Linked DNA regions of Pelodiscus sinensis. The protein of the gene in region 2 interacts with the protein of the main gene of each other region in a pairwise test. Links are inferred from orthologs where the notes say so. Each region holds a gene or a part of one and is shown on either strand. Other genes may lie near its edges.

The links.
Region 1: the proteins of CCND3 (region 2) and ATF5 interact in a two-hybrid assay, tested with the Homo sapiens proteins (2 studies listed by BioGRID and IntAct). The link is inferred for Pelodiscus sinensis from reciprocal best matches to the Homo sapiens genes CCND3 and ATF5.
Region 3: the proteins of CCND3 (region 2) and CRABP2 interact in binary tests that used the Homo sapiens proteins (3 or more experiments, as listed by UniProt). The link is inferred for Pelodiscus sinensis from reciprocal best matches to the Homo sapiens genes CCND3 and CRABP2.
Region 4: the proteins of CCND3 (region 2) and EIF3K interact in a two-hybrid assay, tested with the Homo sapiens proteins (2 studies listed by BioGRID and IntAct). The link is inferred for Pelodiscus sinensis from reciprocal best matches to the Homo sapiens genes CCND3 and EIF3K.

The regions. Positions count from the first base shown.
Region 1 is NC_134743.1:2,614,092-2,621,375, reverse strand, and holds ATF5 (cyclic AMP-dependent transcription factor ATF-5), read right to left. Parts: upstream 3,009-7,284; 5' UTR 2,851-3,008; intron 2,003-2,850; 5' UTR 1,878-2,002; coding exon 1,712-1,877; intron 1,282-1,711; coding exon 575-1,281; 3' UTR 80-574; downstream 1-79.
Region 2 is NC_134737.1:9,469,779-9,477,655, reverse strand, and holds the start of CCND3 (G1/S-specific cyclin-D3), read right to left. Parts: upstream 3,008-7,877; 5' UTR 2,787-3,007; coding exon 2,589-2,786; intron 473-2,588; coding exon 257-472; intron 1-256. UniProt on the Homo sapiens protein: Regulatory component of the cyclin D3-CDK4 (DC) complex that phosphorylates and inhibits members of the retinoblastoma (RB) protein family including RB1 and regulates the cell-cycle during G(1)/S transition.
Region 3 is NC_134734.1:17,810,100-17,817,163, forward strand, and holds the start of CRABP2 (cellular retinoic acid-binding protein 2), read right to left. Parts: upstream 3,013-7,064; 5' UTR 2,814-3,012; coding exon 2,744-2,813; intron 1-2,743. UniProt on the Homo sapiens protein: Transports retinoic acid to the nucleus. Regulates the access of retinoic acid to the nuclear retinoic acid receptors.
Region 4 is NW_027465946.1:1,743-9,606, reverse strand, and holds the start of EIF3K (eukaryotic translation initiation factor 3 subunit K), read right to left. Parts: upstream 3,005-7,864; 5' UTR 2,987-3,004; coding exon 2,847-2,986; intron 1,964-2,846; coding exon 1,865-1,963; intron 290-1,864; coding exon 169-289; intron 1-168. UniProt on the Homo sapiens protein: Component of the eukaryotic translation initiation factor 3 (eIF-3) complex, which is required for several steps in the initiation of protein synthesis.

The DNA.
Region 1 (7,284 bases), on a different chromosome or scaffold from region 2:
CTATGGCCCTGAGAGGTGAGTGCAATTGGAGACCTAACTCAGGGGAAAGAAGGTGTACCAGAAAACACATTGCGCAGCCTGAATGTAGGAATTAGCCTTTATTTGCTTTTATGCATTATAAAGGAAGCTACAGGACACATCTATAAAAAAGTTTATATGGCTCTGCCTCTGTCCCACATGCACTTTCACTTCACCCAGCACCTCCCCACTACCTTTTACACACCCCTGCTGTGCCATAGCTACACCCTTCTCCTGCCTTTGTTCCACTCTTGTCCCCTTCCCCAACATCCCTCCCTAGAGGCATGTCCATTCTCCAGAACATCACCTAGCACCCTGGTCTCCCTCTCCTGTCACAACCTTTCCTCTGCCCAGCCACTGCTTCTCTGACCCACTCAGAGCATTGTCTAGCTCATTGTCCCCAGTACCCTGCTTCTACTGCATTAGGGGGTGTTGTGCTGAGTCTGGAGCCCAGATCTTAAGATCCACATCTGTCAGAGTCCCTCCCCCTCAGACCCAGTGCCCTACTCTGGATCTGGGGTGGAGTCTAGACTAGGTGGCCCTCTCCCTGCTCAAGCTAGCTAGCACGGAGCCTCTGGCTCCTGGCCTTGTAGACCTCAATGAGCAGGTCTTTGACATACTGGATCTCACGCTCAATAGAGTCTGCCTTCTCTTTAAGCTCACGATTCCTGGCCTCCAAACCCTGGCACTCATCATCTAGTGCCTCATACTCAGCCCGCTTCCGCTGCCGGTACCGTAGTGCTGCTGTCTTGTTCTGATCCCGCTTCTTTTGCTTACGGTCCCCCTTTTGCTGGGGCAGGACTGCTGACTGCTCCAAGGGGTTTGGCCTGCTGCGCTTGGCAGCTGGTGGGCTACCAATATACTCCTCCAGCCGGCCCTGGCCAGGGCACTCCCCACTAGGCACCCCAGTACCATACAGGTTGAGGAGCTCAAGGCAGCCTGAATCGAGGGTCTGCAGTGGTGTGGGGCTGTCAGAGCCAAAGGGTGGGAAGGACCCTGCTGGCCCACTACCATCTCCAAAAGGGAAGTGGAATGCAGGTTGGTGTGAAGGTGGTGTGCTGGGGGCCACCTGGTCCAGGCCCAGACCTGGGGACAGTGACTCCTCTAGAAAGTAGTCTTCCATCTGCTCCAGCTCCTTCTTCAGGAGGGAAGCCATGGCCTCCAGGTCAGGCAGTGGGGGTGAGGGCAGCGATGGGTCCCCCGACTCCATCAGGAGAGAGGAGAAGTCCACCCTCTCCGTCATCCAGTCTGAGAAGCCATCGCCTGTGTGGAGAGAGCAGGTTCACAGGCTGCATGGGGGAGCCGTGACAGGAAAAGAGCAGTGCAGAGCCCTCCCCCCACTCCAGGAGATCCACCTGCAGCTGGGCTGGAGAAGGAAGGACTGCAAGGCAGGTATGTGGCCCAGCCAAGCCCTTTAAGACATGGCCTAAAGTAGCTTTATTTACAACTTGCCTTCTCTGACCTGGCCTTGGCTGGGAGCCCAGTGCCCTCTGAGCAAACATCCTAACCCTTCAGCAACCCCATCATAATCACCAGGGAAGGCAGGGGTCTCCCAGCCTGGCATAAGGGGGAGGGTTCTGATGCCCTTCTGAGGCAGTCAAAATACTTCCTGTAAGCAGCCCAACCAGGTATCCCCCCCATCTGTTCTCCCCCCTCCCCCCCCCCAGTATTCCCTCTCCTGCCAGAACTGTACCTGCCAACACCATTGCCTCTGTGCCATGGGCATAGTGCCCATCCGTGGCCCCTGCCAGGGGCTCATAGTGGCCGGGGATCTTAAGGAACTCGGCCCTCCAGGAGAGGGTGCTAGCTGGGAGCAGGGTCTTCTCCATGTCCAGGGTCAAAGCTGCCAGCATTGACATGGTGGGGCAGGTGTGGGCTCAGGCAGGCCACAGCCCGATGGGAAAAGGGGCCAGAGTATGGCAGGTGGGGAGCACAGTTCCTGCTGGCAAGGGTGGCAGGTGAGATGGGGGCAGAGCAGGAAGACCTGTAAGAGAGAAGAGAAGATGAGCAGGGCTGCAGGCAAGGGGGAGAGGTCCATTCCTTCACCCATCTGGTACAGCACCACTCAATGAGGGGACAACCCTGTGCCTCTTCCCTCCACTCAAACCACATGGCTTCACACAGGCCCCGAGCTGCCAGCAGGACTAAGACCCGCCTGGCCCTCTTTACTCGCGGCTCAGGAGATCATGGAGATGCGCCTTCAGGGCTGCAACGTGATCCCGGCAGCGCCGCCCCAACTAGGGGAAGAGCTCAGAGGCCATAAGGGAATTAGCCATGCAACAGTGTGCCTTCCCGCCGAGGTCCCACCCCGGGGGCTGTGTGACTGCACGCCATCCGCTTGCTAGGGTCCCTGCGTGACCGCAGCGGCTGGTGCAGAACGTCTCCTCCTCTCCCTGCAAGGGGTCCTTGTATGCCACTCCCCCCTGCAAGGGGGTTCCTGCGCGCCCACCGCGGCAGCTGATGCATGTCACTCCGCCCCGCAGAGGGGTTCCTGCGCGCCCACCGCGGCAGCTGATGCATGTCACTCCGCCCCGCAGGGGGGTTCCTGCGCGCCCACCGCGGCAGCTGATGCATGTCACTCCGCCCCGCAGGGGGGTTCCTGCGCGCCCACCGCGGCAGCTGGTGCATGCCGCTCCCCCCCGCAAGGGGCCCCTACGCGCCAACCGCGGCGGCGCCTGCACGCCATCCCCGTGTCGGGGTCCCTGCGCGCCCCACCCCGGTCGAGGTCCCCCCGCGATGCCTGTGCGCGCCTCGTCCCCCCAGGGGTCCCCCGCATAGGGAGGCCCCGGCATGGCGGGGTCAGCGAGCGCAGCCCGGGGACGCAGCACTCACTCCATGGTGGCGGCGTGGGTGGCGGCGCGGCGCGGCGCACGCGAGTCAGCGTCTGGCTGTGCTAGAGAGCCATGGTGCGCTACGCTCGAGTGCTGTGTCTGTGTGTGCGGAGAGAGACGGAGTAAAGGGGACAGGGAGGGGCCGCTCTCTATATTCCCTCCCCCCTCCCGGGCCGCACCACACCTCGTGTTCCTCCGCCCCGCCAACGGGGTCGTGCGCCCATCAGCCCCCACCCCCAATCCAGCCCGCCCCCTTGCTGTGCCCCGGAGATGCGCGGCTCCGCCCCCCGTCACCCCATGCCGTGCTCCGGGCGGGAGCGAGGGACCTATTTTGCGGGCGGTGACTGGATCGATTGCAGCAGAGTTGCATCAGCTGTGAACAGAAGGAGGGGCTGGGCTCGCCTCTGGTTGGCTGCAGAGCCGCCGCGAGCGGGGTAGCGATTGGCTTCGGGAAAACTGGCCCCGTGATAGGTGCTGTGACAGATGAAATCAGAGAGTAACCTGGGACCGCGTTTGTGTCTGGTGCTAGGACCCCCCCCCCCCCCCCCGCGAGCTTTTAGTATCCCCAGCACCTTTCCAGGGCAGCCCGTGTCCCCCATACTGACTCTGTAGCATCCAGCTCCACCGCTGGGAGCCAGGGTCCTCCAACCCATCAAACTCCAGCACCCATGGTCTGCCTTCTGGCTCTGGAGGAATCAGGTTCGATGCTGCCATAGTCTCCAGCCAAGTGGGGAGCAGGGTATACTAGCCAGTTTAGTGGCCTTGCCCTGCTGCACTGCCATGGACTTCCCTGCTTTGTGCTCCTGGCCAGGTGGGCGCTGGGGGGCAAGCACCCACCAGCAGAGCCCCCATGTGAGATGAAGGCTGGGTGACTGGCTGGTGAGCTGGGCACGTAGCACTAACTAGCCTGTGACCTGAAGCAGGGTGTTGGGTCTCCAGGCAAATACCAGGCTCAGAAATAGTTTTGGGGCTTGCCTGCATGATCCACTCTCACACATCCCACCCCACCTGGAAGCTAGTTCTGGTCTGTGGACTCTCTCGTGTCCATGGGAACAAAAGTCTAGCTGAGCCTGCGATATGATAACGTTAGTCCCAGGATGCAGGGGCATGGATAGTGCAAATTGTTCTCAGTCCACTTCAGCAGCATGGGGAGAGGTGTCAGGGTGTGTCAGATACTAGACCCAATTTGTGGGCAAAATACTGAGGCACTATGTGGTTCCACCTGCTCTCCCTTGTGGGTCCATAAAAAAAGACTTTGAGGGGATCGAAATGGTAGAGGAGTGTGTCTGTAAGGAGGGAATTTGTCTATCCTGCCTGTCCCTGCCCCCCATCTCCTGGAACCCTGGCATCCACAATGGCACCATTGCATCTTCATCATCCTGATCTCAAGAGACACATCTGGCCACAGGACACGTACCTGGCCACAGAGCGGGGCCTCACTAATATCTCCACTGGTGCTGGCAAAGTCCTGACCCCAACAGACTCCTCTCATCATGTGTCATTTTCCCACTCCATTCCTGCTTAATGAGCATCTCTGCCCTTTCCAAGCAGAGTGCTGAGTGCCCTGCACTGAGGGGCAGTTCCAGCACGGCCCTACCCTGCTGGGCACTGGTATGAGTTTGCCAGGTCTCTGAGTTGCTGATCAGGCTGGGCTGGGTTCTTGGGGCAGGGGCACTGGATGTGAGAGTCAAAGCCAGAGGCAGATGCAGCAAACCTGTGGATTGTGTTGTTCTGTCTTTTAGGAAACTGGAATTTAACAGCAGTCAATCCACTAGCCTAGCCCAGTTCACTGCATTTCTTCTCCCCAAAAGGGCCGATAGTGTTATCTTTGGTGTGACCCTCAGGAAGAGGGGGCTATAGAAACTCCCTCCACTAATGGGAAGGGGAACCGGGCTTTGGGTACACTGACAGCCCGATTAGTGTAGTGAATCGGATTATGTCCCTTCTGCAGGAACCTCAGGAGCAGGTTAAGCAGTTTGTCAGTTCTGGTTGTTGCCAGGGGACCAGGCAGGCAGAGATCTCTGTACTCTGACCCCAATTATTCCAACGAAACTAACCCACCTGCACTTAGTCCCCGTCCCCCCCACTAAGATGTATTCAGAGGCCAGGGGGAGAAGAGCAATTCTAGCCATGCTGTCATCTCCCCAGTCTGGCTCAGACCAGCTCCCCTGGCACCAGAATTGCACCATGGCCCTTGTCCCCTGGCTCCTTCTACCATCGACCAATAAATAGCCCAGAGATTGCTGTGAGACACTGGTGCCAGCACAGGAGAGAGCTGGAACACTCACCCCTCCTCTCGGCTCTTCCCCCATGCTATGTCTAGACTGCGAGCTTCTTTTGAAAGAAGCTTTTCCGGAAGAGATCTTCACAGCAAAAGTGCAACAAAAAAGTGATCTGCTTTTTCGAAAGATAAAACACTGACTGGATGCTATTTCAAATATAAGGCCACCAGGAACCAGTTCAGGCAGGGCATTAGGTCAGCAGTTGCTTCCAAGTGCTGTTGCCGAAGCCTAGCTGAGAGACATGCTTAAAGGGACCCCCCTGGACAGCTGTTTTTCTGCTTCGTGCCTGCCTACCTCTCGGAGGGACAGCAAAGCTTTAGCAGTGCGTGCTCTTGTTGCCCAGCTTTTTGGACGCCACAGCATTTTTCGTTTTGCCATGGAGCCAGAGCTGCGTCTGGGCACTTGATGGCCCCACACGGCCATGCTGCAGTTTCTGAAGCAGTTTGTGCAGGCTGCCTTCATGGCCCTCCACAAGCTCGACACCGAGCTCATCCTTGAGACCCTCTCCCTGTGTGCGGGAGCAAGACCCTTACAACCGCATCCCACAGTGGAGAGACGGTTTTGGAGGCCGGACACCAGTTCTTACTGGTGGGACCTCCTGGTCATTGAGCAGTGGGACGACCAGCAGTGGCTCCAAAACTTCCGCATGCAGAAGACCACCTTTTTGGAGCTGTGTGCCTGGCTGGCCCCTGCCCTCCAATGATGTGACACTCACCTGCAGCCCACCATCCCCCTGGAAAACCAAGTCGCCATTGCCATCTGGAAGCTTGCCACCCCACACAGTTACCCATCAGTGGGCAACCAGTTCGGCATGGGGAAGTCCACCGTCAGGGCCCTCCTCATGGAGGTAAGGCACTCTTGGGCTGCAGTCCCTGCAGGGGGTGGGGGGAATCCTTGAAAGGGGGACCCTAGAGAAGGGGGGGTGGAGGGCTGGGGGTGGGGGGAAAGCCCCCTCCCCAGGAGGTTGTGCCATCCCGCACTCACATAGCCCTGCTGCTGGGGGGGAGGTCTCAAAGGGGGTGGTTCCTGGGGTGTTTGAGGAGGGGAGGGGAGGGGAGTGGAGTGGGCCGGGCACCTCCCAAGGGCTCAGGCACTCCCGCTCTCATTCTCTGTTTTGTGTGTTTGTTTGTCTCCTTCTGCAGGTTGTGAGGGCCATCAACGCCATTCTGCTGCGCAGGGTCATTCGCCTGGGAGACCTAGACCTGATCGTCACAAGATTTGCTACCCAGAGTTTCCCCAACCACACTGGAGCCATAGATGGAACCCACATCCCAATCCGAACACCAGGCCATCGAGCGGCCCCAATACATCAACAGGAAGGGCTACTTTTTGATGGTGCTGCAGGCCCAGTTCGACCACCGTGGACAGTTCGCGGACATTTTTGTCAGGTGGTCGGGCAGGGTGCATAACGTCCATGTGTTCTGAAACTCCAGCCTCTATGGGGAGCTGGAGGCTGGCACATTCTTCCCCCGGTGTGACTCTGTGTTTGGGGATGTGAAGATGCCACTGTACATCATGGGCGACGCAGCCTACCCCCTCATGCCATGGCTGATAAAGCCATATACCGGCCTCCTGGACCCCAGCAGGGACCAATTTAATTCCCATCTCAACTGGGCCCACATGCAGGTGGAGTGCACCTTCGGCTGCCTCAAGGAGCAGTTCAGGTGCCTCCTGACCTGCCTGGACGTGGGGGAGCACAACATCCCCTGGATGGTGTCGGTGTATTGGGTCCTCCACAATATTGTGGAGAAGAATGGGGAGGCCTTCTTACATGGGTGGGGGGCAGGGGCTAGCAGGGGCTAGCTACAAAGGGAGGGCCTGTGAGCAGCCATGGACAGCTGCCATCTGCCAAGCCCATCAGTTTGGGGCGTGCATCTGGAGGCCCTGAAGGAGAGTTTCTCTCAAGGTCCTCAGTAACTCTCCCCAGGGCCTCCCCACTAGGTGCCTGTGCTTTGCTCCACTATCCCTTTCCCACAACTCCTCCCTTTCCCCCTTCCCTTTACTCTCAATAAACACACTTGTTTTGATTTGAACAAAACGAACTTTGCATTTTTCTTTCAATAAAACAAACTGGGGAGATGGGGGCTGAGAACCTGTAGGTGGGAGGGAAGAAGGGGGCTGAGAACCTGGAGGGGAGAGGGAGGATGGGGTCT
Region 2 (7,877 bases):
CAATGGGGAATAACAGCTGGGCTGCCTGGGACCTTGGCCAAGAGGGTGGCTCTAAGTGTGGCGGACAGTTCTACCTTTCCAAAAGGTAGTTTGTCCAGTTGGGCAAGGAAGCTATTTGGGGAACATGGGGGGGAAGGTGCTTGGGAGAACAGAGGAAGGAAGTCAGAAGCAGTTATGCCCCCAAGCAGCAGCACAGAGAGGATAAGAGAGCTGGGGAGTGGGTGAGAGACTGTATCAGGCAGAGTGGGGAGGTTACCAAGATCTGCTTTGGTGTGATGGAATTGTCTGTGTAAATGCAGAGTTTCTCCACAGTCAGGGGCATGGTCTCTCGCAACTTGGAAGCCAGGAGCATGCAGACGGCCCCCAGGAGCTGCAAGTGATTTTTTCGAGTATGAACTGAAGACAGGTAGCGATCCACGTAGTTCATAGCCAAGGGGAAGACCTCCTCTTCACACTTCTGCTCCTCACACACCTGGCAGAACCCAACAGAGGAAAGGAAGGGTTTTAAAGGCAGCCCCAGCCTGCACCGGGACTTCAAAACTACTAGTTGCCATAGTTTCTGGCACGTGTGGAGCCTTTTGTCTGGTGCTCTCAAAGCCCTTTTAGGTTTAAGAGACAAATTCTCCATTGGTGTAACTCCAGCCCACCACCCGCAGGGAATTTGATGCAATGTGCTACAGTTCACCTCCCTTTCCTCTGGGAAGTAGGGAAAATAGAGAGGTTAGAGACCAAAATCTTCTAGAGGGCCCACTGATTTAGGTCTTAATTACCAGATGTGCCAATCACTTTCTGCTCTCCTTAAATGGGGGTGCTCAGCACCTCTGAAAAAAAACAACCCAGTCCCAATGTAGCTTCAGCTGGCCCAAAAAAGGAGGCACCAAGAATCAGTTGCCACTTTTGGAAACTCTGGGCTAAGTGACTTGCCCAATATCACAAAAAGAGTCACTGGCAGAGCCCAGGATAGCAACTGCATTCAAACTCCTGGCTCCCCTTCTCTGTCTATGGCACATTCATGAGAGGCACAAACAGAACCCAGGAGTCTGCAGGTCAACCCCTTCTATACATGCCACTAGGCTTTTAATGAACAGCCATATTTCCTTGTTTTAACAGAAAAATATTGAATTTTCCCCTTGTGCTATAGCAACTGGCATCCTTCTCTTTCACCCTGTAACTTTGCCTCCCAATGTCCTCTCTACCCACATAAAACCGCATGCCAGAGACTTTTTCCTTTTAAAAAAAATAGACTCACTTCTCATTTCAGATTTAAGTTTAGCTGCATTCCCTCTCACCCTCATTCAAAATAAAAAATGAAAAATTAGCATTTAGAACTAAATCCTGCTGCCTCTGAAGTCAATGCAAGTTGTACCACTGACTTCAATAGGACCTACGTTTAGGCTTACTAATGCAAATCCTATTAAATTGGGAAATCCCAAAGATACCGCCTCCAACTTTACTATGGGCTCCTTCCACTTTACTGAGGTCCCTGCTTTGCAGGATCAGGCCTCAACACACCTTTTAGCCAAGTAACTCTCTCAGAAAGTGCACTTAAGAAAAAGGATAATTAAAAAAGTTGGAATCGGCATGTGATTAAAAAAAAACCCAGGCAGTATGTCACAACAGCCAGTGAAGTGGAAAGAGCCTCAGACTGAATTCAATCCAGATTCTATTTCTTCCTCGTGTAATCTCATTTTCCTCCCAATCTAGGCTATTCAGGGCTTGATCATTTATGAAAAGCGAGAGACATCTGGGATATGTTCCTCCTTGAGTTGTTCAGTGCGCAGGATTGCATTCCTTTTAATTTAGCGGCGTGGGAGGCTGGGATCTTTCTGCCCAGGCTTTCTCTCACACCGCATTGGACTCCCCCCCCCCCCCCCCAACTGTCCGATGAAAGGCAGAGACCTTGAAGCGGACAGTTTCCGGGCTGGGGTAAAACCGGAGGGACCCCTACAGGCAAAACAGGGTGTGGAGGAGAGCAGGTTGTGTTACCCCCTCGGTGCAGCAGGAAATGCTGCAATTCCGCATATGCAAAGGTGGAAATCATGCCCCCACCCAAGCACCCGGGGTCTTTCACCTGGGGGGGGTCTTTCAAATGCCCCCGTATCCCACTATTTCCTCTGCCTCCTCCCCCCCAAAAGATTGACTCCTCCCACCACAGACCGAGCCCCACAAACCAGCAGCCTCTCCCCCGCTCCATCAGATTGTTTCCTTTGGAACTCACGCGGCAGCAAGTGACATTGCAAACCGCCCCCCCATTAGCTCCCCCCCAACTGATACAGATTCCCCAAACCAAGTGACTTCCCTACCTTAAAAAACCCAAAAAACACTTCTCCCAACCCAACTGTCCTCCTTCCATTACCGCCGCCACCGCTAGGCGACCCCACTAAATCCTTTGCTCCGTTTACACTCAAGACTGGGGTGGGTCTCTCTCTCCCACACCCAGCAAGCATAGCCCCTCTCCTGCCCGAGCCGGGCAGCCTGTATCTGCGGTGGGGACCAAGGAGGGTAGGCAAAGGAGCTGCTGTTGGACTCCAGGATGGATCGGGAGGGAGGGGGTGGCAGGACCCGGATTGAGGGAGGGGGTCCCGTACCTCCAGCATCCAAAAAGCCAGCATCTTCCGCATGTACGGCTTGATCTCCTTCTGCACGCAATGGAAGTAGGAGACCCGGGGACTATAGCGCTCCTCCTGGCTCAGCAGGTTCTGCAGCACCCGCCGGTCCCCCAGCAGCTGGGGATCGCGCTCCGCCCTGGGCACGCGGGGGGCCCCCTCCACGCACAGCAGCTCCATGTGTCTGGATCCTGGGGGGTCAGGGCACGAGAACGGGGACAGCCGGAGCAGGGACGGAAGGGGGGGCGCGCAGGGGAGCTGGCGACAGGGAGAGGGACACCCCCAGCCGGGGAGCGGGGCTGGGCGATCAAGCAACAGCGACCCCAGCCAGCTGCCTCCCGGCCGCTCTGCCCCACGCTCCCCGCCGCACTGACAGCGCCGGATCCACTGTTACAGTTTTTAGAACGTCGGGAAGTTAATGGGCGGGGCTACGGGCGGGGCCCTGCTCGCGGGAGGGAGGGGGGAGGGAGAGGAGCTGCAGTGCAAGCCCCCTGGGTCCCATGGTGGGCTAAGCGGCTGCCGCCTCGGAGCAGGGCGCCGGTCGCCCGCCCCTCCGCTCCAGATTGCAAAGCAAGTGAAATCCGCCCCCCCACGGTTTTCTTTTTCGCAAGCAATGGCCCCCTCCCCATGCCCCCCGAAATCCCCTCCGGTTCCATGGCTTCTTGCCACTGCTGCTACTGCACAGCCGGTGGTAAGGGACGCTCATTTTTCATTCCACCCAGTGGATGCAAGCTCTCCCATTGCTGCCCGGGGAAGACTTGGAGCAGTGTTTCTCAACCAGTGGTACCAGTACCCTGAGGGGTACCTGAGAGAAGTCTGGGGGGGTACGTCAACACAACTGAAATTTGGAGAAAACTGAATTTTTGTTTTAAGTTTTACGGCACTTTATTTTGGTACTTTTTACACCCATAAATTTCATTGCCTGCCCAGCTACGTTGTTTAAAGAAATGTTGGGGAAAAAACTGTTGTGTCTGAAAACTGTAGGTACTGGGGATACTTATAATTTTTTTTAAATAGAGGGTACTTTATAAAAAAAAGGTTGAGAAACACTGACAGAGTGACCAGACAGCAAGTGTGAAAAATCAGGTTGGGTGTATGGGGGAAGGGGAGGTACTAGGCACCTAAATAAGACAAAGCCATGGGGATAGCTGGTCTTCCTGCCTCAAGACATCAATCACCTGGAAACATCGCCATGCGGCAGTGGTGCAAGGTGACAGCACATCACATGGAATCCATCCGTGTCACACTACCTCAGAGAACATGCCGGGCTGTACGCGAGGCATGACTGCACATTGCCCTGAGTCGAAGAGTGTACAGTCCAAAAACCCAAAAGAAAGGCAAGAGACTGGACTGCAGAAACCCAGATGAGCAAATAACTTGAGGGGAGGGGGTTTGTTTTTGTTATTTTTCATTAGCATTCATTGCATTTTACTACATTATCCATCTATCTTGAGTACAACCACCAATGTTACCAAGTTACGGCATCAAAACCAAGATTCGTGAGCACACTATGACTATTCCTCGTGGGGTTCATGTTCAAAACAGGACAATCTGGAACTCAGATCCGTTGCCTGCTCTGTTAATCTATTATTTCAGTCTCTTTGATAGTTAATTCTGCCACTTTTTTCTTTGTCTTTTTTTTTGTCTAGCCCTTAGAAGCTATGAGAATAATCAGATAGATGTGAGTCTGTTGAAAGTATGTCTGCACTGGGCTTTTTCCTCCAAAACCTATCCGAGTATTAATGCTAATACTAATGCAGCTGCCCTGGAGACAGCAACATTGGAAACGTGTGTAGATGAGGCTTCGGCAGCCACTGGTGTTAACAGCATGTAATAATGGTTTTGAAAGAATACATTCTTAACTTTTGAAAACTACCCTGAGCTCTTGCCTATTTAGACTAGAGCCTCCTTAGGGCAGGACTATCTCTTGTTCTCTGTTGGGATCTCTAGACGCTCTTGCAATACAAATACTACTACTAATAAACACCTGGCTTGTGTACAAGAGGAGCAACATTCCTCATGTTGCTAACACTGTTGGAGCTGTACCAGTGTTAGCAATGAGAGATTTATTTTTTCACAGCTTTTACTACATGCCTCTGCATACTCAAAGCACTGCGTATGCTCAGCACATGGTTTTCACAAGTTCATAACTTCTTTTAAAACCATTTTTTTTCAAATTTAGCACCGATTAGAGCCTGCTTTCCAGGTTATTTGCCTGTCAAGTGCAAAGACTTAAAGCTGCTTTTGAGTTATCCAAGCTCAAAAGAAGGTCAGACTGCATCATTTAAACGTAAAACATATTTTCCCTTCACAACTACAGAATTAGAAAAAGAGCTGAATGGAATTTCTTCAAGTTTTTGAATAAAAACAAATTAAAATCGTTGTTGAGATTGAGAGTGAGCATGAGAAATTTCAGCCCAAAAGGTCAAACTCTGAGAAAATTCTGAATATGAAAAGAGAGAGTTAGAATGAAATGGCCAGCTCATACGAATTTGGTAACTCCCACAATGCTGTAATATGGCAACTGTAGGAATAGTTGGAAGCTGGGTGATTAATCATATAATCATAGAGGTTAGTGGTGGAAAATACTTTCAAGATCATCTACTCCATTCATTTGCTCCTTATTCTATATTTTAGTGCTTTATCCACTCTGGGATTAAAAGTCTCCAGAGAAGATGCTTCTTCCATGCTGCTTTGCAAAGAGCTACATGCAGGAGTTTATCCCACAGTATTACTGTACTAAAATCACATTAGGTGTGCTGAGGAGTGGTAGCTGACCCATGGATTCAGACTGGGGTGGCCAAGGGTCAGCTGGGAGGCTTGGGAAAAAGGCGTGTAAGTCACCATGCCCAGGAGAAATTAAATACATAGATATTACGGACATGTTGGATGAAGTGTCATGTACCTAAGATGGAATCTGTGATCAGTATTAGCAGGTACTAGATTAGTATACTATAAGGCATTGTAGGAGCATTCGCCTAGACAGCTGGTTGTATAGCATTCCATCTTAATCATCTTAAAAGAATGTAGGATCAAAGAAGTTAGAGATTGAATGATCAACCAGATCTTTGAGTTTATTCTCTCTCCCCCCAGATGAATTCACTACCACTTTGAGGCATCCTATACTTTTTCTTGACCTTATAAAAATCTATGTTTAATCATTGCAAAAAATAGGGACTGTAAGAAAAAACATGTTTTAAAAATGTGTTTATTTTTGAGCATAAGCAAAACAAGACAAAAGTCTTTATCTGTCCTGTTCAGGAACATTGACCCTGAAAAGGAAAAAGATAAATAAAAAATTCTTTTTTGATCAGAGGCTTCATTTTGCATCTCCAGAAACATGAAGGTCGTGTACATACCAGATCTGATATGAGGCACACTAGCACTGAAAATTCCATTTACTTCAAGGAACATGGGACCAAGCACTATCTATCTGTGCCATTTCTAATGATCCCAACATCATAACTACAATAGTATCTTGTTCCTGATTACATGACGTGTTACACAACACACAAACAAAATCTTATTGCCATGTAGCAAAGGAGTAAAGCAGTGAGTGTATGTGGAATTATATTGATTCCATCCCAGTCCTAAAACGAAAAAGGGGAATTTCAGTAGGTGATATTAGAGAAACAAGGTGGGTTACTTAATACCATAAGAACGGCCATACTGGATCAGACCAAAGATCCCTCTAGCCCACTATCCTGTCTTCTGACAGTGGCCAATGCCAGATGCCCCAGAGGGAGCGCACAGAATAGGGAATCATCAAGTGATCCCTCTCCTGTCATCCATTTCCAGCCCCTGACAAACAGAGGCTAGGGCTACCATTCCTACCCATCCTGACTAATAAGTAATGATGGACCTAACCTCCATGAATTTATCTAGTTCTTTTTTGAGCCCTGTTAAAGTTCTGGTCTTCACAACATCTTCTGGCAAGGAGTTCCACAGGTTGACTGTGGAATATCTTTTATTGGACCAGGTGGGGAGAGAGAAAAGCTTTCAAGCCACACACTGCATACAAGTAGGTGAGATAACATTCCAAAAATCCACCTCCACTGCACTTTCCATGGGCATGAAATATTTGAAGAATCCATGAAAGCAATTTCTTTAGACCAGTCAGATGGATTCAAACCAGGGTGACCCTCCTGCCCCCTATTCATTTATTGTTGGAAGCGTCTTTTGTATACAAAGTGAAGAGGGCTTAAATCCCACATTTTCAGTAAAAATATGTTATTTTCTTTAGCCAAGCAAAGGGAAACCACAGTGCTGGGTTCTTGGTCCCTACATTTTCTGGACAATGTCATTTGAAATTGAAAGCTTCAGGACATATACCAGACATAATGGGCTCACACATGTTTGCTTATTGTCCCATGGGTGAGTCTAACTCAGCCTGATTGTTAGAAATATGTTGAAGCTGGAGTCAATGCAGTCAGGAGGGTGGGGAAATGAAGGCTATTGCATAAGAGAGAAAGTGTTCCTTCCAGAAGATGACTTGGCAAAATTGATGCATCTGCCAGCCACATTATCAGACTAAAAAGGCAAATTACAGACCTCAGGAGTTTGTGTAGCGGGAAGGAAGAACATTCCCGGAAAACCAAAATTTGGTCACTGTTGATCATGGATAGACAACTTCCTGCCCTCAATGGTAGAGAACTCAGAAATGAAAAAAAAAAAAGGAAATTCCTTCAGAGAGAAAGAAAAAAAGAGGGTTTCTAGACTTCCAAGATCTCAAGCCAGCAATGTTTTCCTTTGTTGAATCACCAGGAGGATCATTTTTTTGGTATGTAGATGATGAACGAACAGTCACCAGCACTAGGAGCATTTAAAGGGGCACTGAAGCTATAGGGCCAGAGAGTCTGTGGGTTATTAGCAGCTGATATCAAGCTGATATCCAGACCAACATTAGGAAGAAAGCTGAGAAATATGTCAGGCTGTTCATTAAATAAACAGATCCTGTTTGGCCAGACTGTTAATCAACATAGTGCCATTGACTTTGATGGAGCTACACTGATTTACACCACCATGATGTTCAGATACGAGGGGGTTCATCTTCCATACTTCTGGCTTGGTCTTTTGCAGCCACTCTTCATTCAACTTTGAACTGTCCAGGGCTAGACAATCTTCTTCCTTCTCTGTCAGACCATGACTAAAACATTGTCAATGATGTCAGAGTGAAACTGATCAACATACATGAAGGTCCCGAAAACCAAACCCACATGAATGAGCAAATAACTATACAATTTACTGTAGGAAATACCCAAAATGAGAGTA
Region 3 (7,064 bases), on a different chromosome or scaffold from region 2:
AACCCACCCCCAAATGCACAGCTCAGGATGGGGGGGCAAATGAGGTATCCCCCCTGAAATCCAGCCCCCAGCGCCCAGCAGCAGTGCACATCGTTGTGTCTTCCATCTTGTTTGCAAGAAAAAGCCAGGAGGGAGAGAGGACAAGCCCCCTCCTCCCTTTGCACCCCCCCCCCCTTTGCCCCATACTGCGCCAGGGCCAGGGCAGGACAGAACACCACAGGGGGAGGCTCCCGCTGGTTGCTCTGAGGTTAGTCCCAGCAAGACCTGCAGCAGCTCAGCAGGGCACACGCTGGCTCCCAAATTGCATCAAGCCAAGAGCTACAGCCAGTCCGTAAATACCCCAGCGGGTGGCAGGGCCAAGCAGTGCTCGGCCTGATGGGCAGGGAAGGAGGGATGCAATCGACGGGGGACACACGCCGCCAAGCGCAGAGGGCCCGGGGGCTCTGAACCTCCAGGCTCAGAGGGGCCAGGGACTCAGTCCTGGCACAGACTAAGCCCTGGTGGTGTGGGAAGCAGCATGGAGCAGCAATCTGAACAGAGAGGTGGGTACCAGATTCCTAAGTTCTTCTCCTGGCTCTGGGAAAGGACATAGAGCGGGCGGCGGGAGGACTACGTTTTCTTCCTGCCGTGGTTTCTGACGAGCAGCGTGGCCGTTAGGCGAGCTGCTGCCCCCACCCCACCATCTGGGCCTCGGTTTCCCCATCTGTAAAATAAGGATAACCCTACTCCGGTGCTGTTGTCAGGCAGGGGGAGACCCGTGGAGGAGAAGGGCTGAGCATTGTCAGTAATTCAAGCCGGTCTCACCACGTCTGTAATGGATTAGGGAGCCCTTTTTTGGTGTGGGTGTGTTTGGAGGAGGATTATAGATCATTATCGAAAGGGGTTTTCACGCTGGCTCCTGCTTGTTTGTTGCAGATGCTCTGCCTACCTGCCTGCCGCATGTGGCAGGGTGTCCCCGATCACACACACACACACACACACAGTCCCAGCAACCCTCCCCCACTCCCTGGGCGGGTGGGGAGGTTCGGTGGCCAGTGATGTGCAGGTCAGACCACAGGATCATGGTGGTCCCTTCTGAGCTTCAAGACTGAGTCTGGAACACCCAACAAGCAAGGGAGAGTATTGTCTATGGGGGCCAGGGGCGTGTGATGGGGGCAGCCCACTTCCCCCCTCCCATTCCCATGGAGCCCCCAGACTTTAGAGGGGCTTGGGGCAGAGCAACTGAATCTTCACAGAGATGACAAGGGGGCTAAAGAGCCATTCCAGACCCCAGCAGACCCCTGAATGCTGGATCCAGACCGGGCCACATGACCACCCCCTCCTTCCCTGTGGCTTCACAGGCTATTTTTACCCCACCCCACCCTGTAGAATTGAAGAACCAACTCCTTTTGCCTCACACCCTCCTCCAGGGAGTTGTGTTGTTTGATGGGGAAACTGAGGCACAGAGCCACAGCTCCCAAAGCACAGGCTGAGCTCCTCACAGAGCCCATCCTGCCTCTCTCCCTTGTGTGTGCTTCGCTCCCGCACACGTCACCCCACTCAGCTTTTTAATCCCTGCCTCTGAAGATATGTGGGGCTAGTTGGAAAGTCCCAGATCCCTCCCACCACAGCCCTGGCGGGATGCACCGGGCAGACAGGATCAGAGCTGAGGCTGCACTCCTGGGGCATCCTATGCCCAGGCCTGGCAGCAAACGGCCAGAGGGAACCTCCAGGCTCTGCCTCCCATGTGGGAGAATCCCGATTCAACTACCAGGGGCTCTGCTCTGCATCCCAACGGGAGGATCTGCAAAGCGGATCATAGCTACCACATCCAGGGTCAGTCCTAACCTAGCCATCTCCTGCTGCTTGTCAGCAAGGATCCACTGCCTTGTAGATCAGACAGGAGCGGGGGCTTGGTCGGGCAGGGAAGGGCACTGGCAAGGGAAGCAAAAGGACAGAACCAGGGAAAAGGGGGTGAAGCAAAAAGGGGGAAAATTCCCTGCTCCCATCAGGCAGCTTGGTCCCCCCTTCACTGGCTACTGCAGCCAATTCCTCCACTCATCCACCAGTGGGTTTTCAGGGGCCCCTCCTGATCCACACCAGTGGGTAGGGAGAATCAGGCTCAGCATAACCCAACAACAGGCGCCTTCTGCACCACCACGGGCCAGATCCTGAACTCCTTTGCTTCCCCCCTTCCCCAGTAAATTCAGAGCCGCTCCCCTAAAGTAATTCCAGATTGACACCATCCCGGGAGTGGAAAAATCCCGGGGAAGTAAACCACACTCTGTACGATCTCAGGGCTGGATTGCTGGCCTCAGTTTCCCCCCTCCCCCTGTAAATCCAGAGGCTGCAGGTATAGGCAGTGGATTTACCCCAATTAGGGTCAATCCGGAGCAATTTCACAAAGGGGCGGAACGGCTGGTGGCAACCCAACAGAGGTACTCCCGATCTGAGGCGCACCCGCCTCAGCCCGGAGGCATTCTACCGAGCTCAGCCGGCAGCGGAGTGACTCCGGATTCAGGCCGGCGCTCGGAAGCGGAGAAGGCGGCCCCGGCGGGTCAGTTTCAGGGCGCCCAAGGAGACAGCCGTGGGATGACTCAGGAGGCAAACCTCCCCCGATGATGCCGACGCCGGGGTCGTTTTAAGCAGCTGGCTTGTCCCACACTGAGTCATCGGCTATTTCTCAACCTCCCCCCGGCTCGAGCTGGCGCTCCCCAGGCCAGGAGGGATGGGGGGGGGGGGGAACAAAGCGCCCCCGACTCACCCAAAACTTTCAGCAGCTCCTCGAAATTCTCCGAGTGCTTCATCTTCCAGTTGCCGGAGAAGTTGGGCATCTCGGAGGGGAAGGAGGCAGAGCAGCCGAGAAAGGCACCACGCGGCTCCTAGCCCTGGCGAGTCACTTACTAGCCCCTGGCGCCTTCGCTCCCCCCGAGCCTCACGCCCCTTCCCTCTGGCTGGTTCGCCCGGCTTCCCAACCCGCATGCCCTGCGCTCCCTCTGCTGAGTGACTGGCCCTGCTCCCTCTGCTCTCCAGCGCTTTCTCCCTTTATGTGTCAGCTCCCTGGCTAGTCCCTCCCCCTGGCCTCGGGGAGGGGAGAAGTGTGTCTCCAGTCTCACCTGCCTGGGGGGGGGGGAGGGTAGCGACTGATCCCCCACCCCCCACCCAGAGGAGAAAAACCAGTGTGGGTGTCTTAAACAGCAGCCCAGCTGCCTGGTTTGCAAAGTCTCTGCCTTCCCAGCCACCCAGCAGTCAGGACTGTGTCTCCATTTTCACCCCAGGCCTGGGGCATGTGCTCCCATCCCGCCCCCATCTCCTTTCTGGGGCCAGATTCCATCGGTCACAGAGCTCCCCCACCCAGGAACAATTCCATGACCGCTGAAGGAGATAGTCTGGATTGAAATCCGTGGAAATGCGGGCGTGACGCCACCACTCTGACTGGGACAATGACTCCTCTGGCAACAGGGCAAAAGGAATGTGTTCGTGTGTTTGGCGGTGTCAATCCGGAGTCACTCCACTCGCATTGGGAGCTATTCCAGATTTAGGTCAATTTAACTGACAGCAGAATCTGGCCTGTAGGAAACAATCAGGACAGACCAGGAGGGCAGGATGAGATGGGATAATATCAGTACCTCATTCCTATAGCAAAGGTGCCACCGTCAATGTTCCGTTTAATCTTTTCCATCCGTGTGCAGAATAAATTTTGTTATGTGCACCGAGGCATGTGTCAATGTGCACCACTGTTAGAAAAACACCCAGTGATGGGCGCTCTGCTAATCAGCTGGGCAGCACTGGAATTTTTCCTGAGCGGCCATAGAAGTGCCCTGCTTTTAGGGAATGCTGGTCACCGTGTTAGTCTGTATCTGCAAAAACAACAAGGAGCTCCATGGTACCTCAAAGACTGACAGATTTATTAGGGCATCACCTCTGGTGGGGAACAACCCTCCTGACGAAGTGAGTTTTTGCCCAAGAAAGCTTACGCCCAAATAAATCTGTTAGCTTTTACGGTGCCACAGGGTTCCTCGTAGTTCCTATATAGCACTTCTCATCCAAGGGCTGAACAAAGAATCATTGTATTGGTAAGGAAACTGAGGCAAGAAGGAGGGGACTGGAAAGGACATGCCCAAGGCCACTCCAAAGATCAGTAGCAGAGCTGTGAATCGAACCCATTGTTTGTGACTCCCAGCAACAAGACTTTCCTTCTTAACTCTCTGACTCTGCTCAGCTCCTGAATCCAATTGGCTGATAGTTGCAAGGGTCTGAACCCAGAGAGGTTCTGACCAAGCCATACCCCCAGCCTGCCCCAGATCTGTGGGAGTATTAGGATCCAAGCCAAATCTCCCCACACATACACAGCCCCCAGACAAGGTGCTGCAAAAATCAATATGGAAGCTGGAGCCAGGTCTGGAAGTCCAGATCCACATTCCAAAACTCCCCAGAGTCCCAGGGGGGTTGGGTCCCAGGTTTTTTGGCTCTGATGCTTAAAACGATACAGGCCACCTGCAAAACCTGGGTTGGATTTAAAAAGCCATGACATGAGGATCTGGGGTTTGGGTTCAGGCCCATCACAACTAATACCCCAGTTCTACCCCCATCCAGCTGCTACATACCAGCACACGGCAACTCTAGGGGCAAAACCATCTCTTGCCAGTGAACCCCTTCAACGTTTTATTATTGACTTCAATGGAGCCAGCATTCCGCTTCTTCTGACAGAGGTAGGGCAGCTTTGTGGGCAGGCCCTTACCTGGCACTCAGCAGACTAAGCGTTCAATAAAAAGCCTAGGACTTTTCAGCTTAGAAAAGAAGAGTCTAAGGGGGGGATAGGATAGAGGTCTAGAAAATCATGACAGGTGTGGAAACAGTGAATATAAGAACTAGGGGTCACCAAATTAAATTAATAGGTGGCAGGTTTAAAACAAATAAAAGGAAGTTTTTCTTCACTCAGCGCACAGTCAACCTGTGGAACTCCTTGCCAGAGGATGTGGTGAAGACTAGGACTTTAATAGTGTTCAAAAAAGAGCTACATAGATTCATGGAGGTAGGTCCATCAATGGCTAGTAGCCAGGATGGTGTCCCTAGCCTGTTTGTCTGTAAATGGGTGACAGGAGAGGGATCACGTGAGGATTACCTGTTGTGTTCCCTCCCTCGGGGGTATCTGGTATTGGCCACTGTTGGCAGACAGGAGACTGGGCTGGATGGACCTTTGGTCTGACCCAGTCTGGCTGTTCTTATGTTCTCTACCACAGCCATCGTGGGTGACTTGGGCAAGTCACTTAGATTCTCGTGCTGCTCCCCAGCTGTAAATGGGACAATAATCTTCTGTCTCTAGGGACTGTAGATCTTCAGGGCTGATCTGGATCTCTGCTGCCAGTATGTACAGTACCTAACACGGTGGGGACAATGTTCCCTCTAATTTTTTCCACTCGTGTGCAGAATACATTTTGTTTTGTGCACCAAAGCATGTGCAGATGTGCACCACCAGTAGAACCACATGCTGCCGGCAGTCAGTGCTCTGCTAATCAGCTGGACGGCACAGGAATCTCTCCTGATTGGCCATCCAAGCACTGCAGTGGGGTCTTCCTGATTTCAGCTGAAGCCCCGAGGGACTTCTGTAAAGCAGTCCTTGCTGCATTGGACTATGGCCATTCCCACCCCCTATCCATACAGTCAGCATCGGTGGCAGCATCTCTTAAACACCTCTCCTGACCGCATCCCCGTGACACCTGCTGGCAGGAGCCCCTGGGAGCCAGACTGCGAGCAAAGCAGAGAAGACTAAGGGCACGTGTACACAGCAGGGCTAAACTCGAAATAAGCTACGCACTTGAGCTATGCTAATTGTGTCGCTTAAGTCGAAATAGCTTATTTCGAATTTGGGCACATCTACACAGCACTCATTTCGAAATAGAGCCCTCTTCCCCATCCCACCTCTGACTCCCCTTCCGCCTCGCACACTGAGGTTTACAGGAGTCGGAGTAAGACACCCGTTCTTTCGAATTTATTTTGAAAGAAGCGGCTTGCTGTGTAGACGCGCCCTTCAGAATAACATCGGTTATTCCGAAAGAACGCTGCTGTGTAGACATGCCCACAGGGAGCAGCTACACGGCACTGCGAACCCAGCACTGACGGCGCCGGGCCTGTCGGCTCCGTGTCTCCAACCCTGTGGGCGAGTGTCCGTCCGCACTGCAACTCTGCTCTGCAAAAGGACAGGGCTGCCAGGGGACTCCGGCTCTCACCCTCCCCTGCTAGCAGGGTCCCCTGTGTGCTCGCTGACCAGACTCAGCCTGATTTGTGTGTGGACCGAAACAGGGCTTCAGGTCAAACCGGAGCCAGGGCCCTGTGCAATGTAGACAGACCCTGAGAGGAGTTTTTCCTCCAGACCAGGTGGGGAAAGGGGGGAGGGGGAGCTGTTGTGATCTCTAGTGAAGCAATAGCGCCTCCTAGTGGCGGTGAACAGAATAGTCCTAGGGCAGGCTGGAAGCCAAGGAGCTGGGGGCCTGCCTGTGGGAGAACGGGTTGGGGGATTCTTAAAGGGACAGTGTCAAGATTACAAAGTGAGGGGATGGGGGAGGGGAGCATATCTTGAGAGAAAGAAAAAATCGCTCTCTTGGATTTGGAGTAAGACAGGGGACTACCCCACCCCCCAACCCAGACCCACACCCTCCATCTCTCGAGGGAAAAGTCCCTCCTGGTTTGCTTTTCTACAGGGCAGAGTTATCAAGTTTTTCCATCCAAGCCAATGTAACGAGGTGGAGGGGTGGGCATGTGGGAGAGATCCTGGCCTGGTGCCTCTGGAGATCCCCCTCCTGTTTCTAGCACTGTTGCTGATTTCCTCTGTGCCCCTCTGGCAAGTCACTTCCCTCGGCCTCAGTATTCCCACCTGGGAAAGGGGACCAAGAGGCTGCAAACTCGTTTGGGTTTGAGTCTGCGCAGCTCCCAGCACGAAGGGGCCCTGAGCTGGCTGCCACCACACTATAAAATACAGCTTCCTTGCCTGCCCCGGCTGTATCTCATTAGCAGAGCCCCTTAGAAAAGTCATCCTTGAAGCAGCAGGGCTTCTGAATGTGAACAACGCCAGTGCTGGCATTGGC
Region 4 (7,864 bases), on a different chromosome or scaffold from region 2:
AGGAGCTCCCTGGGCACACCACCGGACGCCACTGCTGGCTCAGGATTGTCGGTGGGGCGGCGCCCTGGGGGAACGGGGGGCTGCTGGGCGTGCACCCCATCACTGCCGAGAGCCCGGAGGACAGCTGGACAGGCCGCTGGGCGCGAGAGGGGCGTGCCAGAAGGATACGTGAGCCTGGTCGATCATGCACTTGCAGAGGGTGAAGTCTGTGTGAGGGAGGTTGGTCAGCGCTTTGAGCAGGATCTGAGCCGTGACGGCGGTTTGGAAGAAAGCAGGGTTGAACTGGTACCTGGCGCAGAGCATGGAGAGTTGGCAGCCGGCACCCACCAGACCCTGGGTTAGCACCATGCACACCGCGCCCAGCACCCCATAGGCCCTGCCCCCCGCCGACCCACACACCACACCCGGCACCCACCAGACCCTGGGTTAGCACCATGCACACCGCACCCAGCACCCCATAGGCCCTGCCCCCCGCCGACCCACACACCACACCCGGCACCCACCAGACCCTGGGTTAGCACCATGCACACTGCGCCCAGCACCCCATAGGCCTTGCCCCCCGCCGACCCACACACCACACCCGGCACCCACCAGACCCTGGGTTAGCACCATGCACACCGCGCCCGGCACCCCTCAGGCCCTGCCCCCCCCGCCGACCCACACACCACACCCGGCACCCACCAGACCCTGGGTTAGCACCATGCACACCGCGCCCGGCACCCCATAGGCCCTGCCCCCCTGCCGACCCACACACCACACCCGGCACCCACCAGACCCTGGGTTAGCACCATGCACACCGCGCCCGGCACCCCTCAGGCCCTGCCCCCCCCGCCGACCCACACACCACACCCGGCACCCACCAGACCCTGGGTTAGCACCATGCACACCGCGCCCGGCACCCCATAGGCCCTGCCCCCCTGCCGACCCACACACCACACCTGGCACCCACCAGACCCTGGGTTAGCACCATGCACACCGCGCCCAGCACCCCATAGGCCCTGCCCCCCTGCCGACCCACACACCACACCTGGCACCCACCAGACCCTGGGTTAGCACCATGCACACCGCGCCCAGCACCCCATAGGCCCTGCCCCCCCGCCGACCCACACACCACACCCGGCACCCACCAGACCCTGGGTTAGCACCATGCACACCGCGCCCGGCACCCCTCAGGCCCTGCCCCCCTGCCGACCCACACACCACACCTGGCACCCACCAGACCCTGGGTTAGCACCATGCAAACCGCGCCCAGCACCCCATAGGCCCTGCCCCCCCGCCGACCCACACACCACACCCGGCACCCACCAGACCCTGCGTTAGCACCATGCACACCGCGCCCGGCACCCCTCAGGCCCTGCGCCCCTGCCGACCCACACACTGCACCCGGCACCCACCAGACCCTGGGTTAGCACCATGCACACCGCGCCCAGCACCCCATAGGCCCTGCCCCCCCGCCGACCCACACACCACACCCGGCACCCACCAGACCCTGGGTTAGCACCATGCACACCGCGCCCAGCACCCCATAGGCCCTGCCCCCCTGCCGACCCACACACCACACCTGGCACCCACCAGACCCTGGGTTAGCACCATGCACACCGCGCCCAGCACCCCATAGGCCCTGCCCCCCTGCCGACCCACACACCACACCCGGCACCCACCAGACCCTGGGTTAGCACCATGCACACCGTGCCCGGCACCCCTCAGGCCCTGCCCCCCTGCCGACCCACACACTGCACCCGGCACCCACCAGACCCTGGGTTAGCACCATGCACACCGCGCCCAGCACCCCATAGGCCCTGCCCCCCCACTGACCCACACACCGCGCCCAGCCCCCCTCAGGCCGCGCCCGGCGCCCACTCACAGCTTGAGCACGGCCAGGTTGGCCTCCAGGTCGTAGGCACTTTCCTTGGCCTGAGTCTCCACGTAGCGCTCCAGCGTGGCCAGGTTCTCGGGGTTGTACCTGCAGCGGGGAGAGACCCTCAGCGGCGAGCCCGGCCCCGCCCCCCCCCAGCCTGGCCCTGCCCCTGGCCCCCCCCCCGGGCCTGGCCCCCCACCCCAGGGCCCCGCCCCCCCCAGCCTGGCCCTGCCCCTGGCCCCCCCCCCCGGGCCCCGGCCCCCCCCCCAGCCTGGCCCTGCCCCTGGCCCCCCCCCCCGGGCCTGGCCCCCCACCCCAGGGCCCCGCCCCCCCCAGCCTGGCCCTGCCCCTGGCCCCCCCCCCCGGGCCTGGCCCCCCACCCCAGGGCCCCGCCCCCCCCAGCCTGGCCCTGCCCCTGGCCCCCCCCCCGGGCCTGGCCCCCCACCCCAGGGCCCCGCCCCCCCCCAGCCTGGCCCTGCCCCTGGCCCCCCCCCCCGGGCCTGGCCCTGCCCCTGGCCCCCCCCCCCGGGCCTGGCCCCCCACCCCAGGGCCCCGCCCCCCCCAGCCTGGTCCTGCCCCTGGCCCCCCCCCCCGGGCCTGGCCCCCACCCCAGGGCCCCGGCCCCCCCCAGCCTGGCCCGGCCCCTGGCCCCCCACCCCAGGGCCCCAGCCTGGCCCTGCCCCTGGCCCCCCCCCCCGGGCCTGGCCCCCCACCCCAGGGCCCCAGCCTGGCCCTGCCTCTGGCCCCCCCCCCGGGCCTGGCCCCCCACCCCAGGGCCCCAGCCTGGCCCTGCCTCCAGCCCCCCCCGGCCCCGCCCTGGCCCTGCCTCCAGCCCCCCCACCCGGCCGGTCTCTGGCCCCCCCCCCCGGCCTGCCCCTGCCTCCAGCCCCCCCCCCCGGCCTGCCCCTGCCTCCCCCCCCGGCCTGCCCCTGCCTCCAGCCCCCCCCCCCCCCGGCCGGTCTCTGCCCCCGGCCCCGCCCCCCCTCACCGGTCGATTCCCTTCAGCAGCTTCCCCACGTTCGCCCGCATCTGCTCGAACAGCGCCATGGTGCGGGGGGGCGGGGCCAGCGGCACGGGGGGGCGGGACGCCGTCGACTTCCGCTTCCGGCGCGGGCCTTCCCGAGGCATGATGGGAGAGAGGGTGCGCGCCAAAGCCGGCCACGCGCCCGGATCCGCGCCTGGCCCCGCCCTATATTCCCTGGCCACGCCCCCATGCCCGCGCGGGGACACGCCCCTCTCCCAAACCCCGCCCACAGCCCTGCCCCCCGCCAGGCCCTGAGCCCCCCCGACACCCCCCGAGCCAGGCCCTGAGCCCCCCCCGACACCCCCCCAGCCAGGCCCTGACCCCCCCCCCGACACCCCCTCAGCCAGGCCCTGACCCCCCCCCCGACACCCCCCAGCCAGACCCTGACCCCCCCGACACCCCCCCAGCCAGGCCCTGACCCCCCCCCCGACACCCCCCCAGCCAGGCCCTGACCCCCCCGACACCCCCCCAGCCAGACCCTGACCCCCCGACACCCCCCCAGCCAGGCCCTGAGCCCCCCAGACACCCCCCGAGCCAGGCCCTGAGCCCCCCCCGACACCCCCTCAGCCAGGCCCTGACCCCCCCGACGCCCCCCCAGCCAGACCCTGAGCCCCCCCCCGACACCCCCCGAGCCAGGCCCTGAGGCCCCCCCCGACACCCCCTCAGCCAGGCCCTGACCCCCCCGACGCCCCCCCAGCCAGACCCTGAGCCCCCCCCCGACAGCCCCCCAGCCAGGCCCTGACCCCCCCCCCGACACCCCCCCAGCCAGACCCTGAGCCCCCCCCCGACACCCCCCCAGCCAGGCCCTGAGCCCCCTCCCCCGACACCCCCCCAGCCAGGCCCTGACCCCCCCCGACACCCCCTCAGCCAGGCCCTGAGCCCCCCCCGACACCCCCCCAGCCACGCCCTGACCCCCCCCGACACCCCCCCCTGCCAGGCCCTGACCCCCCCCCCCGACACCCCTCCAGCCAGGCCCTGAGCCCCCCCGACACCCCCCGAGCCAGGCCCTGACCCCCCCCCGACACCCCCCCAGCCAGGCCCTGAGCCCCCCGACACCCCCTCAGCCAGGCCCTGAGCCCCCCGACACCCCCTCAGCCAGGCCCTGACCCCCCCCCCGACACCCCCCCAGCCAGGCCCTGAGCCCCCCGACACCCCCTCAGCCAGGCCCTGACCCCCCCCCCGACACCCCCCCAGCCAGGCCCTGACCCCCCCGACACCCCCCCAGCCAGGCCCTGAGCCCCCCGACACCCCTCAGCCAGGCCCTGACCCCCCCGACACCCCCCCAGCCAGGCCCTGACCCCCCCCGACACCCCCCCAGCCAGGCCCTGACCCCCCCCCGACACCCCCCCAGCCAGGCCCTGAGCCCCCCGACACCCCCTCAGCCAGGCCCTGACCCCCCCCCCCGACACCCCCCCAGCCAGGCCCTGACCCCCCCCGACACCCCCTCAGCCAGGCCCTGACCCCCCCGACACCCCCCCAGCCAGGCCCTGGCCCCCCCGACACCCCCCAGCCAGGCCCTGGCCCCCCCGACACCCCCCCAGCCAGGCCCTGAGCCCCCGACACCCCCCCAGCCAGGCCCTGACCCCCCCCCCGACACCCCTCCAGCCAGGCCCTGACCCCCCCCGACACCCCCCCAGCCAGGCCCTGAGCCCCCCGACACCCCCTCAGCCAGGCCCTGACCCCCCCCCCGACACCCCCCCAGCCAGGCCCTGAGCCCCCCGACACCCCCTCAGCCAGGCCCTGACCCCCCCCCGACACCCCCCCAGCCAGGCCCTGAGCCCCCCGACACCCCCTCAGCCAGGCCCTGACCCCCCCGACACCCCCCCAGCCAGGCCCTGACCCCCCCCGACACCCCCCCAGCCAGGCCCTGAGCCCCCCGACACCCCCTCAGCCAGGCCCTGACCCCCCCCCGACACCCCCCCAGCCAGGCCCTGAGCCCCCCGACACCCCCCTCAGCCAGGCCTGACCCCCCCCCGACACCCCCTCAGCCAGGCCCTGAGCCCCCCCCGACACCCCCCAGCCAGGCCCTGACCCCCCCGACACCCCTCAGCCAGGCCCTGACCCCCCCCCCGACACCCCCCCAGCCAGGCCCTGAGCCCCCCGACACCCCCTCAGCCAGGCCCTGACCCCCCCCCGACACCCCCTCAGCCAGGCCCTGAGCCCCCCCCGACACCCCCCCAGCCAGACCCTGACCCCCCGACACCCCCCCCAGCCAGACCCTGAGCCCCCCCCCCGACACCCCCCCAGCCAGGCCCTGACCCCCCCCGACACCCCCCCAGCCAGGCCCTGAGCCCCCCCCGACACCCCCTCAGCCAGGCCCTGACCCCCCCGACACCCCCCCAGCCAGACCCTGAGCCCCCCCCCGACACCCCTCAGCCAGGCCCTGAGCCCCCCCCCGACACCCCCCAGCCAGGCCCTGAGCCCCCCCCCGACACCCCCCCAGCCAGACCCTGAGCCCCCCCCCGACACCCCCCCAGCCAGGCCCTGACCCCCCCCCCGACACCCTCCGAGCCAGGCCCTGACCCCCCCCGACACCCCTCAGCCAGGCCCTGAGCCCCCCCCGACACCCCCCCAGCCAGGCCCTGACCCCCCCGACAACCCCTCAGCCAGGCCCTGACCCCCCCGACACCCCTCAGCCAGGCCCTGAGCCCCCCCCGACACCCCCCCCAGCCAGGCCCTGACCCCCCCCGACACCCCCCAGCCAGGCCCTGAGCCCCCCGACACCCCCTCAGCCAGGCCCTGACCCCCCCGACACCCCCCGCCAAACCCTGACCCCCCCGACACACCCCCGCCAGGCCCTGAGCCCCCCCCCGAGACCCCCCCAGCCAGGCCCTGAACCCCCCCGACACCCCCCCAGCCAGGCCCTGAGCCCCCCCCCAACACCTCCCCCAGCCAGGCCCTGACCCCCCCCCGACACCCCCCCAGCCAGGCCCTGACCCCCCCCGACACCCCCCAGCCAGGCCCTGAGCCCCCGACACCCCTCAGCCAGACCCTGACCCCCCCGACGCCCCCCAGCCAGGCCCTGAGCCCCCCCGACACCCCCGCCAAACCCTGACCCCCCCGACACTCCCTCAGCCAGACCCTGACCCCCCCGACACCCCCCAGCCAGGCCCTGAGCCCCCCCGACAGCCCCCGCCAAACCCTGACCCCCCCCGACACCCCCTCAGCCAGACCCTGACCCCCCCCGACACGCCCCCAGCCAGGCCCTGACCCCCCGACACCCCCCCAGCCAGGCCCTGACCCCCCCCGACACCCCCCGCCAAACCCTGACCCCCCCCGACACCCCCTCAGCCAAACCCTAACCCCCCCCGACACCCCCCAGCCAGGCCCTGACCCCCCCGACACCCCAGAGCCAGGCCCTGAGCCCCCCCGACGCCCCCTCCAAACCCTGACCCCCCCAACACCCCCCGAGCCAGGCCCTGACCCCCCCGACACCCCCCGCCAGGCCCTGAGCCCCCCCGACACCCCCCGCCAAACCCTGACCCCCCCCCGACATCCCCCAGCCAGGCCCTGAGCCCCCCCCGACACCCTCCCGCCAGGCCCTGACCCCCCCCGACACCCCCCAGCCAGGCCCTGACCCCCCCGACACCCCTCCGCCAGGCCCTGACCCCCCCCAACACTCCCCAGCCAAACCCTGACCCCCCCCCCCGACAATGCCCTAGCCAGGCCCTGATCCCCCCGACAATGCCCCAGGCAGGCCCTGAGCCCCCCCCCCGACATCCCCCAGCCAAACCCTGACCCCCCCAACACCCCCCCAGCCAGGCCCTGAGCCCCCCCGACACCCCCCCAGCCAGGCCCTGAGCCCCCCCCGACACCCCCGCCAGGCCCTGACCCCCCCGACACCCCCTCAGCCAGGCCCTGACCCCCCCCGACACCCCCTCAGCCAGGCCCTGACCCCCCCCGACACCCCCTGCCAAACCCTGACCCCCCCGACACCCCCTCAGCCAGGCCCTGACCCCCCCCGACACCCCCTGCCAAACCCTGACCCCCCCGACACCCCCCGCCAGGCCCTGAGCCCCCCCCGACACCCCCCCAGCCAGGCCCTGAACCCCCCCCGACACCCCCCCGCCAGGCCCTGAGCCCCCCCCCCGACACCTCCCCCAGCCAGGCCCTGACCTCCCCCCCGACACCCCCTCAGCCAGGCCCTGACCCCCCCGACAACCCCCCCAGCCAGGCCCTGAGCCCCCCGACACCCCGTCAGCCAGACCCTGACCCCCCCGACGCCCCCCAACCAGGCCCTGAGCCCCCCCGACACTCCCGCCAAACCCTGACCCCCCGACACTCCCTCAGCCAGACCCTGACCCCCCCCGACACCCCCCCAGCCAGGCCCTGACCCCCCCCGACACCCCCCAGCCAGGCCCTGAGCCCCCCCGACACCCCCCGCCAAACCCTGACCCCCCCCGACACCCCCTCAGCCAGGCCCTGACCCCCCCCGACACGCCCCAGCCAGGCCCTGACCCCCCCGACACCCCCCCAGCCAGGCCCTGACCCCCCCCGACACCCCCCGCCAAACCCTGACCCCCCCGACACCCCCTCAGCCAAACCCTGACCCCCCCGACACCCCCCAGCCAGGCCCTGACCCCCCCGACACCCCCCACCAAACCCTGACCCCCCCGACACCCCCCGAGCCAGGCCCTGAGCCCCCCCGACACCCCCGCCAATCCCTGACCCCCCCAACACCCCCCGAGCCAGGCCCTGACCCCCCCGACACCCCCCCGCCAGGCCCTGAGCCCCCCCCGACACCCCCGCCAAACCCTGACCCCCCCCGACATCCCCCAGCCAGGCCCTGGGCCCCCCCCCGACACCCTCCCGCCAGGCCCTGACCCCCCCTGACACCCCCCAGCCAGGCCCTGACCCCCCGACACCCCCCCCAGCCAGGCCCTGAGCCCCCCCCGACACCCTCCCGCCAGGCCCTGACCCCCCTGACACCCCTCCGCCAGGCCCTGACCCCCCCCAACACTCCCCAGCCAAACCCTGACCCC